3 linked regions of the Astyanax mexicanus genome follow. The protein of the gene in region 3 purifies or fractionates together with the protein of the main gene of each other region. This does not show direct contact. Links are inferred from orthologs where the notes say so. Each region holds a gene or a part of one and is shown on either strand. Other genes may lie near its edges.

Region 1 (7,185 bases), on a different chromosome or scaffold from region 3:
TTGAGATATAGCTTCAGCTTTATAAAGCACACAAACAGCTGGAGTAGAAAACTGCCTCCAACTAACACTAAACTGAAAGAGGCCATGCAGGTCATGTGACATCAGTTTCACTTCCAGTTTGGGTTTTGGGATGCACAGTTCTGTTGTGTCAGCCACTCTGTGTTTGGCCCTGCTGGAGGTCACTCGGTTCTAGCTTCAGAAGAAGGCAGTGAAAGTAGAACGGAGCATAAATAGAGCCCCTTGTTTTATTGCCCATTTTTTAATTGGACAAAACAAAAGATCTCATCTTTGGTGAAGCATCCACAGTGGACACCATCTGCAGCTCAGCGTTCAGCTAAGTTAAATTAGTGTAATTCTTTAGTTTGTGGTCTGATCAGCAGTTTTAGGCCTGACTGACCTGTGGACAAGAACAGATCTGAGAGCGTGTGATGGTGATATCAGCCTTGCTCTCCTGCTACGCTGATCAAACTGGAAACACAATCGGACCTTTATTTTGAATGGGCTGTTTTGTAACACTACTCCCGACTCCAGCAGCAGAGGGACTTTACTGTCCTGCAGACCTGACTAATTTTACTGCTCTTTTTTCTGTTTTATTTTACTGGTATACAGACAGCACCTATACTATGTGGTTGACTGTATTAGGACACCTGCTCTTTCTTCTGATTTAAAGGTATTAAAAAAAGCTGATCTTGACTCTGTTTGAGTAATTGTCACTACTGGCCAGGGAAGACTTTCTAATAGAATTTGGAGAATTGCTGTGAGGATTTCATTGTTTTCATTGAGTGTTAGCAAGGTCATGATGATGAAAGATCACCACCCCACCTCACCTCTTTAACTCATCCTAAAAGGAATGGATGCTGTAATATAAGGGGTGTCCACAGAAACGTGGAGGTATGTGTATTATTGTGTATTTCTATCGTACAGTATCAGAACTGGACTGTGACCAGTTAGTCCCAGAACAGCTGCATAAAGGCCAGAGTACCCTGACTGAACAAACATTATTACATAATGGATGTTCATGTTTGTCTAAAAATATCTAGTTGGGTTCATAGCCATTAATTCATGGGTGTTCCTGTTTCATTACGTTTAGGTTGTTGGTCATAACTTACAACAGATATTTCCACATACCAGCATATACACCTAAACGCAACTCACACTTTCCTGGTTGCTAGGGACCAGTTCATTTATTTCACTGGTTAGGTCAGATATCAATAATGGCATTGTTTCAGACAGTGGAAAGAGATAAACTCTTGACTGATTTGTGAGACAAAGCAGAGATGAAAAAGTAGGACTGGGCAATATGACAATATTTTATTTCATTGAGAAAACGTGTTAATGTGATACAGTATACTTTTATAAACATATTGTGGATATCATCAGTGCTTAATGAACACTGACCAACTGTGCACTTGTGTATAGAGAGTGTTATTAGTGCAGTTTAACAGGATATAATGAAGAATGTTAAATATAAATCACTGTACTGTATGGAGGAGTATTTCAGAATCATCTTCACTGATATATTATCTGCATTAAAAGTATTGTGCTAAATACTATGATATTATGATATACTGTGATATAACATGATATTTTGACCAATATATTTTAACAATATTTACACTAGCATAAAAAGCTTGACTAAAGCAATTAATAACAAGGCTCAAATATATGTAATACTGCTAACCTGTGGCTAAATCCCTATTAATCAGATGCGTATTATTGTTTCCTTTTTGCCTGCATTTTCATCCTATAGCTGACAGGCCTTGTGTGTGACACCTGGGATCTAAAAGTTCTAGATGTACAACTTGAGATTGAAAAAGTTCTAGAATATAGATACAGCCTGGTTACTGCCACCATTCTGGTGTTAGAGCGCAAGCGTGCATGGTCAAAGTGCCCTAGCTCTAGAATATAACTTTGCTCGATCACATTCCAGAACACAGTAAACCCAGGCTGGCTGAGTGTTTAGTTTTAGAACATGAGTGTGCATGCGCAAGAGTTCTAGTTCAAAACCAAGAATGTGCTAGCTATGCGTTCTAGTTTTAGAACAATAGTGTGCTAAGTCAATACTGCAGAACCAGTACAGCAGAACCCGCGTGCCCGGCTGTGTGTGTTTATATTTGAGGCGGGAGCGGTGTTATCGCAGCGCAGCCCGCAGGCCGTGTAAATCCCCGGCTTTGCGTTGAGCACTCACCCTCCAGCGTCACCTCCTTCCCCGCCTTTTTCAGCGCCTGCACCGCCTGGTCGTGCGTGGCTTCGCGGAGGTCGCTGCCGTTAACGGACAGGATCGCGTCTCCCACGCGCAGCGCGCGGCTCTGGTCCGCGGCCAGACCGGGGAAGATTTTGGAGATGAGGATGGGCATGCGGTTCTCCCGGCCACCCTTAATGCTGATACCCAGTCCGCCGGACTCTTGCTTCACCACCCGGACCTTCCTCACGGTCTCCGCTGGGCTCGTGTCGAAGTTTGCGCTGCTGTTGCCGCCTCCTGCCCCCTCCCCATGTCTGGAGCTGAAACTGGAGCCTGGGCTTCCGTAGCCTGACCCGGGACTGCCGTAGTCCGAGCTAGTGCCGTTGTCGCGGCTCGGTCTGCGGGGGCTGCTGTAGCCGTACACGCTGCCACCACTGGGCTTTAAGTGCCCGTGGTTCGGCTGAAGCTCCGGGTTCTGGTTCCGGAGTCGGTTCTGTTCGCTGATGGGATCACCCCCGTTAGACAGTCCGTTTCTGAGCTCCACACCGCTCGCTTCCCCCTCCGCAGTCAGGGTCAGAGTGTCCCGGTTCAGGTCGGCCGTGACCCGGACCCAGCGCTCGCGCAGCAGCAGGTCCAGCTGACCGTTCTTATCCGCACGAGTCCAGATCGCCATCACCCGCGCGCGCTCAGTCCAAACTCCTCATACCGAACCCCTCATACCGTCCGAACTTTCAGTTTCCGCTCCCGAGTACAACTCTACACACACACACACACACATGTACACGCCCACACACACTCTCTCTCTCACACACACACACACAAACTCACACACACACAGTTTACAAGTTTGCGTGTTTTCCCTACCCGTTTTCAGACTAGCCCCGCCCCTCGTGCTATTGGCTAAGAGTTTGTAAATCAGAAGTATCTGGAGAGAATGGCCTCTCTCCTCCTCAACAAGTGCGCACTTATCTTCTACAACACTTCATCCAGCTTCTTAAACGTGACTTGTGTTCTAGAAATGCACGCCTGTTGTACATTGTGTTCTACATCACGTAGTAAACATGCACTTCAGTTCCAGGGCTTTTGCTTTGAGTTCAGCTTTATGTTTTTGTGTGAGGGCCCCTTGTTTTAAATGATAAAAATAGCATGCTCTTCTGTTGTAGAGCGCTCAGTCAGAGCACACTGTAATAATTACATTTTTGTTGAAACACGTGCTCATGCTAAGGTCCTGCACTGGGGTTCTGCACAGTCAGCAAGAAAATGTTTCTTAGAAGTGGAATCATTTGCATAAACCACCTGTTAAGGGTGATCATCCAATATAAATTATGTTTAACAGGTTAGCCATAGGTTTACATATTTAAAAAAGGGCCGTTCTGGTTTGTGTAGAGATGTTTTTTCCTCTGTGAGGATGGAGCTTAATTAATAAAAAGTGTAATTTGAGGTTTGTGGGGGTTTTTTGTGGGTGGTGGTGGTGGGGGGGGGTGGTTTTTGCATTAATTGTGCTATAAGAGCATTATAACAATCAGTTTTCTGAGTCATCCAACTGGGGTTTGGCTGGATTATAAGGCTGGAACAGCCAATAGGGTGTCAGTTCTCAGGATTGTAGTCCACAAGGCAATCATGCCTGAGTAAGCTGCTGCAGGGAAGCTGCTGCAGGGAGGGGGGCGGGGGGGGGGGATATTCCAACAGAGTGCTACTCTTATAACAGCCCTGTTATTATAACAGTTATAAACACAGCCTGCTCCTCCTCCTCCAACTCTCCCTCCATATTTCACCCCTCCTGTCCTTAAAGTCCAGTCAGGAGTCCAGCCAGGCCAAGCCACCCCTACCCTCCTACAGTTACTATGGCAACCTAAATACAGCCTTATTAAACATCAATAACTGATGTTTGTACATATGGCGAATTATACACATGGTGAATTAAAATGTTGCACATTCTAAACCATAAGATCAGTAATAAGTTAACTGTTTCAATTCACACTGTAAGAAATAGTAAACTACAGTTGGACATTCTTGCAGCAGCAAGGAGGGACGGACCTGTGGTATCTCTACTTCACATACCGTGGGTATAGCAGCAGCCAGGCACTGAAGAAACTGCCCAATGCTGTGGTGAGTGGTGCATAGGTTCTACAGCATGTGTTTAAACGCCGTTCTCATGCTCCCATCTCACACCACCCCAGGACAGAGCTGGACCTTGCGATGATCTTGTTCAGTCTCTTCCTGTCAGCAGTGGAAATGTGAGACCCTTTGGGATTTCTTTGATTTTTGCCTAAACTAAAACCACACAAAATATATATGTTTCCATGGTTTTATTGAACACAACATGTTAACATTCACAGTGCAGGGTGGAAAAAGTATATAAAACTCTAGGCTAATGACTTTTCTAAGAGCTAATTGGAACCAGGATGTGATGAGATTGGATGTGTTGGTTAAAGCTGTCCTACCCTATAAAAACACACACCAGTTTTGAGTTTGTTGTTCCTAAGAAGCACTGCTTTTGAATCATGCCTCGCACAAAAGATCTCTCAGAGGACCTACTGTACATTCAGGAACTGTTGACTTGTATGAAGCTGGAAAGGGTTACAAAAGTATCTCTAAAAGCCTTGATGTTCATGTGTTCACAGTAAGACAGGCGGTCTACAAATGGAGAAAGTTCAGCACTGTTGCTATGCTCCCTAGGTGTGGTCGTCCTGTAAAGATGACCGCAAGAGTACAGTGCAGAATGATCAATGAGGTGAGGAGGAATCCTAGAGTGTCAGCTAAAAACTTACAGAAATTACTGTCACATGCTAACATTTTTGTTGACAAATCTACAAAAAGGAAAAACATTAAACAAGAATGGAGTTCATCAGAGAACACCACAGAGGAAGTCACTACTGTCCAAAAAAACATTGCTGCAAGTTTGAAGTTTGCAAAAGAGCACCTGGATGTTCCACAGCAGTACTGGCAAAATATACTGTGGCCAGATGGAACCAAAATTAAGTTGTTTGGAAGTAACACACAACGTTTGTGTGTGGAAAAAAGGCACAGCACACCCTCATCAAAACCTCATCCTAACTGTGAAATATGGTGGAGGGGGCATCATGGTTTGGGGCTGCTTTGCTGCCTCAGGGTCTGGAAGGATTGCTGTCAACAACGGAAAAATGAATTACAAAGTTTACCAAGACATTTTGCAGGAAAACTTAAGACCATCTGTCCACCAACTGAAGCTCAACAGAAGATGGATAACAGGACAAACGACCTAAAACATAGAAATAAATCAAGAACCGAATGTCTTCAACAGAAGAAAAAACGCCTTCTGGAGAGTCCTGATCTCAACCCAATTGAGATTCTTCCTGACTGTTCTGCAGGTCTGATCTGCAACTACAGGAATCATTTGGTTAAGGTTTTTGCTGCCAAAGGAGGGTCAACCAGTTATTAAATCCAAAGGTTCACATACTTTCCCTCCCTCACTGTGAATATTAACATGTTGTGTTCAATAAAACCATGCAAACATATATTTTTGTGTGGTATTAGTTCAAGCAGACTGGGTTTGTCTATTCTTGTGACTTAGATGAAGATCAGAACACATTTAATGACCCATTTGTGCAGAAATCCAAGTAATCCCAAAGGGTTGACATACTTTTCCTCCAACTGTATCCTGTAGTATTTGCATAACCTATTTACAATGGGTTACATTTTGTTTATTATTTAAATTAATTCTAATAAAACTTAAATTCCAAACAAAGTTGGGAAACTGTGTAAAATGTAAATAAAAAAGAATGCAATTCCAATCTCATAACACCCATATTTTATTTATAATACAATAAAATAAATATCAGATGTAAAGTAAGCTTTACCATTTCATAAAAAAGTTAGCTCCTTTAGAATAGAATTTGATGGCAGCAACACCTCTTAAAAGGTTGGGACAGAGCTATGTCTACTGTTGTGTAGCATCACCTCTTCTTTGAACAGCTGCGTGTAGAGTTTTTGATAGAGAATTTTCAATTTTGCAACCCCATACATTGGCTGAAAGAAGATGGCATTGTTTCTGGATCATGTTAACATTTGTGTTCACAGACAGTTAACTGTGTTCACAGACAGTGATTTCCTGAGTTCCTGAGACCATGCGGTGGTTTCTTGTCGATTTGTTCACAGAAATGTCTCCAGATTCTAGCAAACACTAGCAAAACGCAAAACTAGAAAAGAGTCAATCAGGATGGATAAGGAGAGAGTATTTCTCTCCAGCGCACCTGTTACGTTTATTTAAACCAAAGCAAGCAAACTTAATTCAATGCATCCTAACAGAGCCGACTGATATCATAATACATAATTTTTTTAGGGATGAAAAAGTGTGATTAATGTCAGAATACTGTTGCGGTTAATCAGATTTTTAAACTTCTATTGTGATTAATTAAACTACTGTTTATTTCTGTTGTCAGATAAAATTCACCATCTAAAACACAGTGCAGACTCTTAACCATACTTAACCATCGTACAGGAACATTTTGTGGCTCATGTCATCTAAAGATTTTTAAAGTCAAATTATCTGTTGTCTCTGAGGTCTGTAGTACCTCCATAGAGACTACACCTTTTTTAGCACCACCCTTCAGCAAGTTATATATATATATATATATATACTGTTTATGAATGAGACCCACAACAGCCCAGCCAATAAAAAAAAACTTGTTTACATAAATCAGTATTACAGGTACAGTGTGTTTAAGTGTAAGAGATATACAGAGGTTGAAGTAGAAATGAATGAGTATTTACTTATAACTCACACAGGCTGTGAGGCTGATAGTGGAGCTGAGGGTGGAGAATGTGGGATATATGTTCTTTATATCTCTACACTGGACAGAGATGCTGAAAACAGAATTTCTTCAAATGAATGTGTTTTCAATTTTTATTTATTGCAGATCTACAGCATTTAAAACACTGTGAGTGAAGGGATTTGCAGTCGGGGGGTCTGGGCTTGTGGGAAGGGGGTGTAGGGAGGTGTTGATGGTGATGCAGGATGTTCA
Region 2 (7,676 bases), on a different chromosome or scaffold from region 3:
TATAAATCTTTTTCCATAAGCAAAATGTTGGATGCAGCTCAGTTTTAAAGGGTTCTTTTTAAGAAATATAAGAAAGAGCTGGAAAAGGGGACAAGAGAGACAGAGAGAGAGACAGACAGAGAGTAAGAGAGAGACAGAAAATCCAAGAGAGAGACAGAAAGAGAGAGAGAAAGAAAGAGAGAAAGGGGGGGCAAGAGACAAAGCGACTAAGAAAAACAGAGAGAGAGAGAGAGAGAGAGAGAAAAGACATAGAGAGACAGAGAGAGAGAGAGAGACAGAAGAGAGAGACAGAGAGTAAGAGAGAGACAGAACATCCTAAAGAGAGAGAGAGAGAGAGAGAGAGAGAGAGAGAGAGGGAGAGAGTCGACAGGTTGAAGTACAATAAAGTGTAGATGAATCTTTCGAAGTAGATTTAGACTATAGAGCTCTTCAAAATGTTTACCCCGCTGTCAAACCCCACAAACCAAATGCTTAGTGTTTATTTTTATTTCAACAGGATCCAGAAAGATGTTTCCTCTTATGGTGACAGTATGAGAATGAGTTAAATAAATACACTGTGTGGGAATTATTATCACTTTTTTAAAGGTCACCTTCCGTCGTTTTTTCTTTCATTTTAAAATGTCTAGTTGTGGTCTCTAGTATGAATGAATGACATGTGAGCCGTTTTTGTAAAAAAAAAGTGCTCAGGTGTCTCTGTATAGCTCTTTTTTAATGGACTGTTTTAGGGGTGTGTCCAAAATGACCGGATTCCAGCTTTGCTCATGAATATTCATACATGCAAACAGCATGCAAATATCTCTCCTCTGATTGGCTAGGAGCACTGCGACGCCCCTCCACCGCTCTGCCGCTCACTGCCTCCCACCTCCTAACTGATGAGCGGTGATGTTGCGTCGCTTCAGCTCCGCCTCTGGGAGTTTCTCGAGCCAAGGTGGGCTGGTCTGTGAGTTTCTGCCTACGTAGGCAGAAAGATAATTCAAAATTCACCCGTTTTTCGGAGGGGGGGAGGGGGGATTTCTTTGCTTAGCTCCTGCAGACAATGGGGGCTGCAAAACAGTTTAATGTGCAGGTGTACACATTCAACTCGGAGAGACCTACTGTATTCCACAAAAAACAAGAAAAATCGGATTTTCGCGGAAGGTGACCTTTAATGTTTGGTTACAATTTAGAAAAAAGTATCAAAATAGGTATTGTTTTGGTATCGGTATTGAAAATTTTAAAACAATACCCAGCCTTATTAGTGAGTAGATTGTGTGAAACGTGTCAGACACGTATGAAAAGATGCTGCTAATCATTTATAAGAGATGTAGATCCTACAGATACAGACAGTAAAAAACAGTAATGTGATTTTAAAAAGGTTGCATTCCTCTCTGATAACAACTCCAGCAGAACCCGCTCCAAACGATCCGAGCGTCGCCTGCCAACACATGGATTAAACTATTAAACTATCCGAGAGAAACAGGGCTATGAGATCCGGCAATCTCACGGATTCTACTCATCCGAGCCCATTCTGCTCATCAGCGCTGAGTCTGAAATGCATGATTAGGTTCAGAGAATGCGCTGCCCCCAATCCACCAACACACCAACACCAGCCAGCCAGCCAGCCAGCGCCACTCTCACTAACAGCATGTTTACCCCCCAAAAAACAGAAGAATAATAGCATTTCTCTCATTTTATAACACCAAATATCATGCAATCCGCTACATTTCTATTTGATGTGTTGTGTAATCATTTTGACAATTAATCAAGCAACCACATTTTAAAAGACACCAGAAAAAAAACGAATACTAAACCCTATAAGTTAAGAAATGATGAAGAAATCTTGACCAGGGTTTTATTTTCCAGGTATCTTACAATAAGACAAAGTGGGACTAATAAATAAATACATACAAATTATAATCATTATAATCAAGCAAATGGCTAGTCAATCCATGCAAAATAAAGCAGGAAAGCAAACTGTAAAGTATGTTCTGTAAGAACTGAAATCTGAAATTAAATTTCGGTATACGGTATAAGTTTGAATGAGTTTTGTTTAATGTTTTAATGTAAAAGATAAAAATATTTTACTATGTAGTGATCATATGGCAAGCATAACACCTTATGCTCTGTTACTTATTACATATAACCTATAACATCCTAAGGGTTAGTCTTCAAGCAATAGATAGACCTAACCATTGATATGAGGTAAATAAATTTATTATAAATTAAGTATAAGGGAAAGCATGTATAAGCAGATATGCCAATACTAAATATAAACCGACGCAAGTAATGTATTTAACTTAAGTGTAAGTAGTGCACAGGACTGTGAATGTACAAGATGTACAGTAAAATGTCAATAGAGTCACAGAGTGCAGATGTACATGTTGTACAGAGTGTAATTATAGTACAAATAAAGATTTAAAAACAGGCTGTGATTTAAAAAATCACACGTGGTACATGAGGTGAAACGAAACTGTAATCTCACGGCCCAGTTCTGTCCAAAAGAGCAATTATTATGTAGGATAAAACAAAATAAAACAATATAAATTGGAATGAAATAGAAAACAAGATAAATACACATAATATAAAAGAAGAGTATGGAAGCATAGGGAAGTAGAAGCAATATAAAACTAGATTACAGGTGCATAATACATTTTTTTTCCAGTAACTACATGCAAATCAATGCAAACACCAGGAATAACAGGTGGTTCTGCAGAACTTAAGAGGTTAAACTCAATATAACAGATTTGTCCTTCAGAGACTTTACAGGACACTTACAAACCAAACACAACTGACCCAGACTCTCAGACTCAGAGAGTAAAACACAGTAGGTATATTTAAAATATGAGAATACATACCCTTCAGACAGTACCATGATCCACCTGCAGACCACAGGACGTACCTCGTCCTGCTGTTAAAGTCCTGCAGGCTGTAATGAAGCTCCTGCTCTGGACGCCCCTCTGCCTCTCAATAGGCCGACCACTAAACCACCACCCCACCACCCCACCCCACTCCACCACAAACAACAAAAGCAGAGCAGCGAGGCGAGAGCAGCTCCTGAAATTAGAAACTGTCCGGCTCCAGCCTGCACTGCTCTATCTTTAACCTCTACTGATCAGACTCACATTCTTCCTCCCCGGCTCAGCCGGATCCCCCAGCTCCAGACTCGGTTACCATGCCTCTGCCCTGCCTCTAAACGCCCCACTGCCACCTCTCTCTTTATTCCAGAGTAATATATGGAGTTAATGAAATAAAGAGGCTACGCTGCAGTAGCTGGGGAAGCATCGCTGTAATTTATGTCCTGTAATGTGTAGTTTCTAAAGCATGGTAATTAACCATTTCCTCAAACCCATTTCACAAAGTCTTTCAGGAGATTTCCTCACTCTCACATCTACTTTCTCTCTAAGGCTAGCTTATGGAAGCCCATTCCCACCACCTTAAAATAATTTAAATAATCCAGCACATTTTAATTATTATTATTATTATTATTATTATTATTATTATTATTATTATTATTATTATTATTATTATTATTATTAAGCAAACTGCTCTCTCAATATTGTGACATACTAAGTGACTATTTTGACATACTAAGTCATTATTTTGAGACGCTATCTCATTATTTTAAGATACTAGTAGACTGTACAGAGACAGAAGCAAAGATACTATACTATCATTGACTACTTCAGACATGGATTCACATCATGAAATATAGGTGCTTTTAAAGGAATCAAAACTTTTTTGACTCAAAATACTAAGATAGTATCTCAAAATAATGACTTAGTGTCTCAGAATATTGAGATAGTATCTCAAAATAATGATCCAGCATCTCAGAATATAGAGACAGTATCTCAGAATATTGAGATAGTATCTCAAAATAATGATCCAGCATCTCAGAATATTGAGATAGTATCTCAAAATAGTGACATGCTATCTCAATATAATGACCTAGGCTAGTATCTACCAACAATGAAATAGTATCTCAAAATAATGGCCTAGTATCTTAAAATATTGAGACAGCATCTAAAAAAATGACTTAATATCTCAAAATAATGAGACAGTATCTTGAAATAATGACTTTTATATCAGCCATTTCTCATTTCTCATTTTCTGTAAATAAATGCTCTAAATGAGAATATTTTTATTTGTAATTTGGGAGAAATGTTGTCTGTAGTTTATAGAATAAAACAACAATGTTCATTTTACTCAAACATAAACCTATAAATAGCAAAATCAGAGAAACTCTGGTCTCTTATTTTTTTCCAGAGCTGTATATACATATTATACATTTTAGAATTTCACTCTGGAATTAATAAATATATTTATTAATATTGATATATAAATAATTTGCTGTTTCCCTTTTTTCCCATTAAATCAGTGTTGTTAGTTAGTTATATAAATAAATATATTATTATTATATTGCTAGTCTCACTCAGCTGTTATAAACTGTATTTATTATATTTATTAGGAAACAGACAGTGTAACTCTGATCAGCAGCAGCAGCAGGGTTAGACCTGCCCCCGGTACTCACCAGCCCTCCGCCGCATCACCGCCCAAACCGCGAGAATAAACCCCGGCGGCCGGTGTTACCGGTACTGCGCGCTGCCCGGGGTCCGCAGGACCGGGACCGGTACATAATCCCCGCTGTATTAAACTACCGCGCCGTAAATTCCAGCATTACAGCACATATATGAGCCCTAACTGCAGCACTGAACTCACAGCAGCGCCGGTGTACTGTCCGATTCTGCTACCATGCCAAACCCTGCTACCCCCCTACTGTAGCTATATACTTAAAGCTAAAAATACCAAAAATTACCCAGGGTATAAATCTCGGAATGATATCATTAATATATATTTGAATAGCGTGAATCGCTGTAAAAATGGAAAAGTAAATTAAATATAGGTGATTAAAACCTGCTTTTATATATTTATTTTATTATATTTTATTATATAATTTTTCATTTTTTTAAATAATATTTGTATTATATTTGATATATGATATTGAATAGCATAAATCGCGGTATCTATTATTACAAATATAATAAAAAAAGATTTTTGTGTTTAAAAAAACTAAAATAAAATATAATGAAAAAGTACTATAAAAGCGGGTTCTAATCACCTATATTGGCCTAACGTTACGCTGATATACTTTTAAGTAGTATTTGTATCATAATGTATTATAATTTCTTTTATAATAAGTCTCTGTATGATATTTAAATAGCGTAAATTGGTGTAGAAAATGTAAGTTAAAGAAATATAGGTGATTATATATAGGTGAAACCATTTTAATGTTTTTTTTTCATTATATTTTATTATAAGATTTCGTGCAAAAAATGATACACAATTTTTTTTTATAATATTTGTAATATTTGTAATAATCGTTGATATTTGAAGTCTTAATCGCTGCATCAGGGTAAAGTTAAGGCAATATACCTATGTAAAGCAATATACTGCTGAATCAGTGCAAAGTTAATGCAATATAGGTGATTTAAAAACCTTTTAATTTTTAAAATTATATATATATATTTTTTTCTTACACAACGTCTTGGTATAATATTTTAATAATTTATTATAATAGTTTAATATTAGCCTCAATCGCTGTAAAAATATGAATTATTATATATTTTTCGTTATATTTTATTATATATATTTTTTGTGTCATTCAAGCAAACAATGACAGTGAGCACAGTTTGTATCATGTACCCGAGGGGAAAAAAGCTATAATTGTAAGGAAAATCGCATGAAAAAAAATAAATGAAGAAATAATTCACGCATGCGCAGAGCCGCTCGATAGCACATATCGTTGGGTAGCACAATTTGGCAGAACACCTCCGCTTCACTACAGCACGCGCTGCTTCAATGACGTAATGCGGAATTTCTCCACGGGGCTGTGCTCTCCCTGCTCCCATTGGCTTTGTTTTTATATAGAAAAGAAATATTTATTAATATAGTGTAATTATAACAAATACGACATATATATATATATATATATATATATATATATATACATATATATATATATATATATATATATATATATATATATATATGTATATATATATATATATATATATATATATATATATATATATATATATATATATATATATATATATTTGGCCTTAAATCCTATTTAAAATTCAGATATTATTTTTAATTACTAGAAATATCTCCAGAACGGTTGCTGCTTTCGTCTGTGTGTTTTTGTTAGTTTTTTGGGGGTATTTAAAGCTGTCCTGTGCTGTTTTGAGCAGTTTTTTCTAGAGTAAACGAGTTAATTTGGTCTATAAAGAACTTTAAGTAGAAATAGCTATAAACTAGAGGTGTAAAAAAACGGGAAAAAAACCCGTCCCAGGGTTTTGTACCAACTGCCTGCTCCGCGGACCAGGCAGTTGGTGCGAAACCCTGCGATGGATTTTAATTTTCTGGATCTGGATTACACAGCTCTACTATAAACTAAAAATCCATGCTGGTGCTTCACTGCTGCCCTCCTGCGCTGTTTCCGTGTGTTTGCGCGCTTGTTGCTTAGCAACCGTCAGTGATACACAAAGCTGAAGATAAACAGCATCACCTGTCTGCGTCTGAACAGGTAAGCTAGTGAATTAAGTTACGTGTTTTGGCTCTGAAGTTATTTTTACTTTGATAAAACTTGATATAAAGTTTGTTTAGTTTTAGTTTTAGATGTTAGCTTGACACTTTTCCACTCAAAAATGGATCATTTTCCTCAATAATAAATGTCCAAGTCTAATATTTGTTATATTTGTTTGTGTAAGAAAGCATTTTTTCTACATATTCACTCAAAATAAACGTATTATTACAAGAAAAGAGAATTTTATACAGATTTTACTTTAATTTTCTTTAATGTAAGGGGTGGGTTTTGTCATGCCCACAGTGCTGCCTGCTTAAAATTTTAATGATTCTTATAACCTAAGTGGTTAAGGGCCGTTCCACCAAATCTGTGCCATTTCTGTCCCCAGAAAATTACATGTATAAATGTAATGTAATGTAAACAAAATAAGATTATATAATTATTACAATCCTTCAGAGGTCTTTTTTTTTTTTTTAGCTATTTTTCATGTTTTTGCTAATTTCATGCTAAAAAGTCATTCCTGTTACTTTCAGCTCTGTGCTTTATTATTATTATTATTATTTATTAATTATTATTATTATTCAGCCAATTATTTACTATTTATTTACAGATTTTGATGCGTGCTGTGCGATGCCTGACACTGAACTATTAAAACATCCTTTAGTGGAAGATGGAGGCAGTTTACGAGGTGAGATCTGTGCTGAGAACAGTTTAACAAAATGATAAAAGTCTTATAAGTCTTATAAGGCATGTTTCATTAATTCTGCTGCTGCAGATCAATAAATGGCATCATAGCATCCAGTCCATTAGTGGGTCATTTATGTACAACGTATTAACAGTTATTAAGACTATCTATTGCATTTTTATTGCATTTTTATTCTATTTTTGACGTTTATTATACAATTCATCAAGAAAAGGCAAGACCAAAGTGAAGCTTTTATTTGTCTTTTTATTTTACAATTATCTTTTTCATTTTAGTTTTAACTGTGAAATACCTACATGGTAATTAAAATGAAATAGTAAAAAAATAATAAATAAATAAAATTTTATTTTTGTCACATATGACCTATGCTCAAGTAAAAAATTTAATTGCAAATAAAGTGATTTCCTT
Region 3 (7,648 bases):
ATATTGTGATCTTGAGAATAAGGCAATATACTGTCATATTGAGATAAAGGCGGCGATATATTGCAATGTTAAGAGTAGGGCGATATATTGTGGTACTAAAAAGAAAGCAATATATTACAATTTATTTTCCAGTACCTTAAAAAACAAACTATCATATTTATTAATATATATATGTATGTATTTTTATATATGTGTGTGCATATACAATATTGTAAAATATATACCCAATCCTTGCTATTTGTGCATATACATGAGCATATATTACATTTTAATATGGACAGCCACAAATTACTACAAATTAAAAATTCACTGAGACTCAAATCTTTATCCTGACTCCTCCAGGAAAACCTCAACCCCTAGATCAAATATGTACGGACACTACTTTACAGTACAATGTATTACTGCATATATACTATATAATTTATATATAGTTTCAGCACCATCACTGCAGTGTGATCATGTGCAGTGTTATGTAAGGGGAATGTAACTTTTTAGCTGTTTGATTCACAAGAAAAATAAACACAGTCCTAATGTTCCATGACATCTTGGCTAGAGGTAGACTTTTATTGTCTAATATATATATATATATATATATATATATATATATATATATATATATATATATATATATATATATATATATATATATTTATATATTTATATATTTTAATATTATTGAAATTAAATGCATGATTAATATCCTGACATGCTGGGTCATTTGGTTTTTTTTTTATATCTCAATATATATTGCATATATATTGAACAAAAAAGTGTTCAGCCCTAGGATATACCTATATCTCTATATAAAAAAACTGTAAGTATGCAATCATTTTACACTAAATTGAACATGATACAGGGCGTCCTTGTATTTGTATTGGTGCCATGGAAAAACATTTTTTGTTCAATGTGCATGTTTGAAGAACCAGTGTACACGTTTTTGTCCTATCTTTTTCCAAAAATGTTTTTTTATCTAGAGACAAAAAATGTCTCCTCTTTTGCTTCACTTAAAGAACCCTTTAAACTACCTCTGAAAGAAAACATGTACATATCTACAAATTAATCCTGCTTTAAATTACCTTAGATACATTAAAGTGACAGTTTCCCTTTTTAAATGTATTAATTGTCCCAAGTGTAGTTAAACAGCTAATACATTTGATGATTTACTGAAGCTAAAATGTGCATTGTAGAATTACATATATTTGTTTTATATAAGCATCCCTAAGAAGAGATCTTATATTTAGCACATTTGTATCGATACAATATAATTTTGATATGAATAATGATTTGATTGATATGAACAATATAAAAGCCACAGATAAACTGCTCAAAACAGATATCTGTACCTGCAAACGCATGCACTCTTGTAACAAACCACAATCAGTTCTGTACAGAGGCTGGAAATCATCTATATTGAAATAAATATTGAAAACATGTTGTAAAATCATATTACCATTAGTTAAACATATTCTATCGCAAAATATATATATATTTATATATTGAATTACTAGAAAACAGTGTAGAATACATTTGATTTATTATACCTTCTAAAACAAACTTCCAAGACTTCAATATGAACCCCCAGCAAAAGCAAAATAGAATAGAAGAAGCCCATTACATACCCAACGGCAGCACAAAGAAGAAGGGTAGCCAGCACAGCACAAACATCCCGACCACGATGGCCAGAGTTTTGGCTGCCTTCTTTTCTCTGGAGAACTTCATAAGTCGCACGGACAGTGAGCTGCGGAAGGGCTGACCCCTGCCCCGGCTGCGACTGTGCTCCAGAGCCTCCTCGGGAAGGCTCCTGCAGTGGATGCGCAGCACCACATCCGTGGAGGTTCCCCTTTCCCGTTTGACGCCGGCTTCCAGACTCCGGCTGGTCCTCCGGGCCACCACGTACACCCGGAAGTACATCACCAGGATGACAGAAAGTGGCAGGTAGAAGGAGAAGAGCGAGGAGAACAGGGCATAGCCTGGTTCCTCGGTGATGCTGCAGACACTTTCGTCAGCTGGTGGTGGCTCCTTCCACCCTAGGAGAGGTCCTATGGAGATAACGGCAGATGCCACCCAGATGACCACCAGGATGACACCTGCCTTCCTTTCTGTCATGATGGTGGGGTACCTCAAGCAGTACTTGACCCCAACATACCTGTCCACAGAGATGATGCACAGGCTGAGGATGGAGGCTGTGCAGCACAGGACGTCCACCGCTGCCCAGATGTTGCAGAACACCCGGCCGAACACCCAGCATCCCAGAACCTCCAGGGAGGCGCTGAAGGGCAGGACCACGACTCCCAGCAGGAGGTCAGCAATCGCCAAGTTCACAATGAAGAAGTTGGTGACGGTTCGCAAATGCCTGTTGCAGAGTACTGACAAAATTACCAGAATGTTGCCGACAATCGCCACCGTGATGAAGATGGCCAAAAAGACCCCCACTGCCACCACTTGGGGCTCCAAGAGGATGCCAGTGCAGGTCAGGTTGGCGCCTCTACTGCTGGTGCTCCTTTTTGTAATGGTACTGTTGACCAATAAAGGCTCCACGTCCAAAGTCTCATTGAGGGCTTCAATGGCATCTTTGCTCTCGTTCACCAACTTGAAAAAGGTCATTTTTGACACTCCATAAAGGAAAGGAGAAAAGTTCTACTGCTCTGACTCCCTGCAGTGGACGGGCAGGATCATCATGTCCAAGCCCGTCTGGGCTCCCCGTCCCAAGCTGAGTTCCTCCTGGCTCTCATTGGGTCTGCTTTCTCATCCAACTGCATCCATCCACTTCTGAACCATCACATCCTTGGACCAGATCTTCTCTTTTTGCACCTCCAGAATCCTCCAGGACTTTGTTTCCAGCCCTCCCAGAGGAAGAGGGATCCGGGGAAGCAGTTGAGACAGTCCGCAGCGCTGCAGAGTCAGCGCACCGTCACATCTCCACAAGTGGCATCTTCAGCCGAGCGCTCCAAACTGGATTAAGCGCGCGCACCGCGCTCTGTTTCCCCGCCCGTTTTCAGGCAAGCCCCGCCTATCGCAACTGTGATTGCTTGGAGAGTTCTGCTCCCTGAGCTGTGATTGGGTGCAAGTAAACATTAGAGAATGTTTGCACCAGAGCGCTTGTTTGAACTATTAGCCAATCACGGCGAAGGGGGCGGGGTTTTCGGAAAACGGGTGTGGAACAAATCTCAATTCATTCGGTGCAGTTCTCAGCGGGACCAGCAGAGGGGGGTGGGTTATACTGCAGGAGGTGAGAAAAATAATCATTTTATTTCTATTTTGTTTTGTTTTTATTTTAAAGCAAAAATATATACAAAATATGTAAATATTTTTTTATTTTAATTTGTATTAATTATTTGAAATTATTCGTTCTAAATCCACTGTAAATGTGTATTATCTTATTTTCTGTTTATTACTTTCATTTGTACTGTTAATCTTTTTGTAGTTCTTTACTCAATAGTTAGTCTTGGTTTCATTATTTGTTTTGACTCATTTTACTTGTTTTAAAATGATATTTTTGGTTTTATTTGATCTTTTATCATCTCATATGGATTCAATCTTAATTTGGTCTTTTTGTATTAGTTTAAATATTAGAATAATTAGATGAAATAATATTATTGGTTTTATTTTTATTTTCCAGTCACTGTGTTTTGTAAATGCTCAGCTACGTTAAAAATGAAAGTCACTCTGAGTGTACCTCAAAGTAAAAATAAAGGTTGATTGATTAACTGATTGATTGTTTAGATGATTTACTGTAATTAAATGAACCAACACGATTTGAATGAGACTGAACATGAGACCACTTCAAAGGAAAAGAGCTGCCTATATGAAAAAGAAATCTAATGTATATTTTTATAACATACATAAATAAAGACATTTGTAAATGTATGAAAATAGCCCAACATTTTTTTCCTTAATATAAGTGTCTACATATACACTCTTAATGTACACTATTCATACATTTTTGCACTGTTTAAATGTACAGAGTAATAACATACAAACTATACATAATTATAGACACTTACATGCTTATGTAAATAGTAATTTGAACATCTATATGTTCATAGTGTATATTTTTATACATTGTACATTTAAACAGTGCATTAATGTGTATATATAAGTGTATATATATATATATACTCTATTTTTATTTTGTTTATATATTGTACTTTTTACTACTAGTTTTTAATTTAAATTTATTTATAAAAAAACTATTACAATATACTATATATATATATATATATATATATATATATATATATAAATACATATAAAAATGCATGAAGATGCTCATGAATATTTATCTTTAAAATGTTACATTATATAAGAATATATATAAAAGGTATTTAAAATGTATTTTACCCATAAAGAAATCTATGCTCATATATTTATATTTATATTTCTGCATGGGGCCACAAGTTGGCTGAAGCCCTATGGGGTTAAAAAGGAGGAAAAAATATTCCTGTTCTGAATAATAGAGACTGAATTAGAGCTGTTTCCACTGACGCAGTGCAGCTGCCGCCCCTGGGCCCAGTGCAAATAGTTGCACAGCTAAAGCGATGGGTCTTTATAAGCCACCAGGGGCCCTTGATGAGGGGTTAGAACTGTGTACAGAACAGCTCTGGGAAAACAACACTGACCAGTGTGAAAAAGAAGACATAAGAGTACCGGGGGAATTTATTACATACATAACAAAACAAAGGCTGCGTCCCAACTGTGTACGACACGCTAATACTATGAGATATATACTGTATGCTAATCTCAATTTGGTTTGGCAGGTTAGTACAACTAAATATTAATGTACTAACTCATTTTATGCTAACAGGAAGTTATTTTATAGACATTTTCCAAAGTTGGAAAAGCTAATGTTGTCAAACTTGTTTAAAGTGCCTACAAGTGTCATATTATGGCAAAATGGCAAAAAAAAAAAAAAAATGGAATATGGAACCAGTATTGTGTTTAATGACTTTTGCCATGTCTCACAGAATACAAACAGAAAATGTTGCATTGAATGTGGATGTGATGTGATTATTTGCATGGGCAATTCTAGCCAGACAATGCCGGTCACAATCATCACCACCCACTGCACTGTCCACTTTAGGTGGTAATGACTTATATGGTGTATTGCCAGTACACACAACACTGTTATTTTAAAGCCATTTTAAAGCCAATATTAAAAAATATTCAGATGCATTACTCAGGTAGAAGTATAGACACTAGGGTTTAAAATGTCTGTATCATTTACATTACAAGTAATATTAGGCCTGCACTACCCCCCCCCCCCCCCCCCCGCGCCCTACAACACATTTTTCTAAAAGCCATAATGACTATAATGTTATAATAAAATGTTAATGTTGAAAAAATGCAATGCATTAGGCTCCCTGTTTCAGCTGCATATGTATATATGCCCATTTCAAATAAATGCATTTTAGTACAATGTAAATATATTAAAGAAGCTTAAATTGGGATTGAATACTTACAGTAGTTGAGATTGAAGAGCTTGAATACTGCATGTCAAGAGAAAAAGAACATCACACTATCATACCGTATGTACAAAAATAAAAAGGAACGCAAAATTAGTATTAACACAACATCTAGCAATTTTCTTAATTTAGCATCTACGAGAAAACACATTTGTGGTTTGAGCATGATATGTTAAAATAAGATAAATTATGTTCCTGGGCAAAATAGATCAAGAGAGTGGCCTGTTCAAAACAGTAAAACTGCATGAAATAGATTGAAATGCACTTTTTGTTGCATTGTTGTATCTGTAGGATAGAGGCATGCATACAGTGATGCTTGAAAGACAGGAACCACTCAAAAAAATGTAATATTGGTTAATTTTTCTTTTGTTCCATTTGTTTAAGTGTGTCCTCTTTATCTACCTTTAGGACTTTGATATTTTTTATGTCATATTTTGCAAAACAATTAAACAATAGAAAATTCTAAAGGATTTACTAACCTTTTGCCACTGTAGTTGTAGAAAAACGTTTAATTTTGACAGAAAATGTAGCGATGTGATCTAAATATTTGTAAGTGAAGCCTTTTGTATAGACTCCTGCATTGGCCCTGGTCTTCTAACATCTGAATCCTTGCAGATCCTGCCACACATAGACGACAGTGCCAGAGCCAACCACCTGGACGTGACTTACCTGGTGGCTGCAGGATGGAAAGTGGGAGAAAACGCAAAGTCAGCTTCTGAAAGCAGCAGGGTAAGTGTTTGGACCATGGTTCCTGTTCCTGTTTTAGTTGCATTGTTTTTAGGCTGCATTTATTATAGTTAGTTATGGTTTCTGTCATTGTCATCACTTATGTGGGCTGAGTCTCCCTATATCTATCACTAAAGGTAATGTTACGCCCTCGCTATGTTTTCCTGTGTTTTCCCCGTTTCCTACTGTGTTTCTCCAGTACTTTTCCGTCACGTGTGTGTAATTTGTAGCTCCGCCCCTTCCCTAGGTGTTCAGTGTTTCATGTTACTGTTTATAGCTCACTTTAGTCCATGTTTATCCGTCGGTCTTTGCACCTTCCCTTGTTGTCTGTCTCGCCACGTTATAGTTATTCCTCGTTTCTTGGTCATTTGCATTTATACGTTCTTGTTTATTTCTAGTTTGTTGTTTTCACGTTTAGTTCCTGTCTGTTTCTTTGTTTATTTTGTATATTTTTCACTTATTTATCCCCTGTATATGTTCCCTAGCCCTGTTTTGTTATTATCTGTTTAGCTTAGCTCTGTGTGGGTTTTCCCTGTTTGTTTATGTATATAGATATATTCGTTATTCCCCTGTTTGTTTATTTGTTTATTTGTTTATTTGTTATTTATTAAAGTATTGGTCTTACCCGCATTTAAATCCGCCTCCCTTCTGTTCCCAACGTTACAGGTAAAGGTGATTAGAGTCTACTAGTAAAACATTCCCTAAAGCTTTATTCCTGTTTAAATTAGCTCTGGCCTTTAATACAGAGTAAGTTTTTGGGGATTTCTGTTTACACTCAGTTTGGAAGTTGACACTAAATCTTGCGAGGCCGGTGAATGCCTGAACAGTCTTACTTTTAAATGACTAGAAGACAGACTGCAGTTGTCACTGTAGCCTTGAGCAACATGCTTCAGCCCTCACAGAAGCAGTCCCATAATTGGCATCCTCACGACTGCATTAGCAAGTCAGATGAAGATCAGCTGGACGTTCCTCAGAGAGGCTTTTCTGTAGTCCTGCTCAGTAATGCTGGGACCGATTCCATCCATTCTTGGGATTCTGTCTGATCAGGGCTGTAGTGGTTTACACCTCCAAGGATTTTTTTTGTTCTTAATCCATTATGCAATCTTTTGGCCAAAAGTAGTGTTTCCTCCTGCAAGAATGGATGAATTAAGACTTTAAGATTAAGATTAAGATTTTCTGCAAGTGTTTAAGTGAGAAAAGACTAAATAAATAAAGTACACAGCAGTGTCTCAATAGAATGCATTTTAATGTGTAACCTGGTGTTAATTTCACTTTACTCTCTACAAGTTTACATGTTAAGGACATTTCTCAGAGGCACATGCTCACTTTACTGCAATTTTATAACTGCACTACTGAACTTTTTGCACTTTTTCATATTCCACTGCTGTAGATAACATGCACCTACTTGTAAATAATATCCATAGCACACTACTGTGTTCATGTATATATTTCCATTCTGA

The links. Proteins that work in one complex are often made in the same cells at the same time.
Region 1: the proteins of adra1d (region 3) and sntb2 purify together in Homo sapiens (tandem affinity purification; 4 studies listed by BioGRID and IntAct, with this or other methods). This does not show direct contact. The link is inferred for Astyanax mexicanus from reciprocal best matches to the Homo sapiens genes ADRA1D and SNTB2.
Region 2: the proteins of adra1d (region 3) and dtna purify together in Homo sapiens (tandem affinity purification; 4 studies listed by BioGRID and IntAct, with this or other methods). This does not show direct contact. The link is inferred for Astyanax mexicanus from reciprocal best matches to the Homo sapiens genes ADRA1D and DTNA.

Annotation. Positions count from the first base shown.
Region 1 is NC_064417.1:11,125,142-11,132,326, reverse strand, and holds the start of sntb2 (beta-2-syntrophin), read right to left. Parts: upstream 3,028-7,185; 5' UTR 2,856-3,027; coding exon 2,189-2,855; intron 1-2,188. UniProt on the Homo sapiens protein: Adapter protein that binds to and probably organizes the subcellular localization of a variety of membrane proteins. May link various receptors to the actin cytoskeleton and the dystrophin glycoprotein complex.
Region 2 is NC_064413.1:498,078-505,753, forward strand, and holds the start of dtna (dystrobrevin alpha), read right to left. Parts: upstream 3,028-7,676; 5' UTR 2,852-3,027; coding exon 2,835-2,851; intron 1-2,834. UniProt on the Homo sapiens protein: May be involved in the formation and stability of synapses as well as being involved in the clustering of nicotinic acetylcholine receptors.
Region 3 is NC_064432.1:568,391-576,038, forward strand, and holds the start of adra1d (alpha-1D adrenergic receptor), read right to left. Parts: upstream 3,013-7,648; 5' UTR 2,605-3,012; coding exon 1,620-2,604; intron 1-1,619. UniProt on the Homo sapiens protein: This alpha-adrenergic receptor mediates its effect through the influx of extracellular calcium.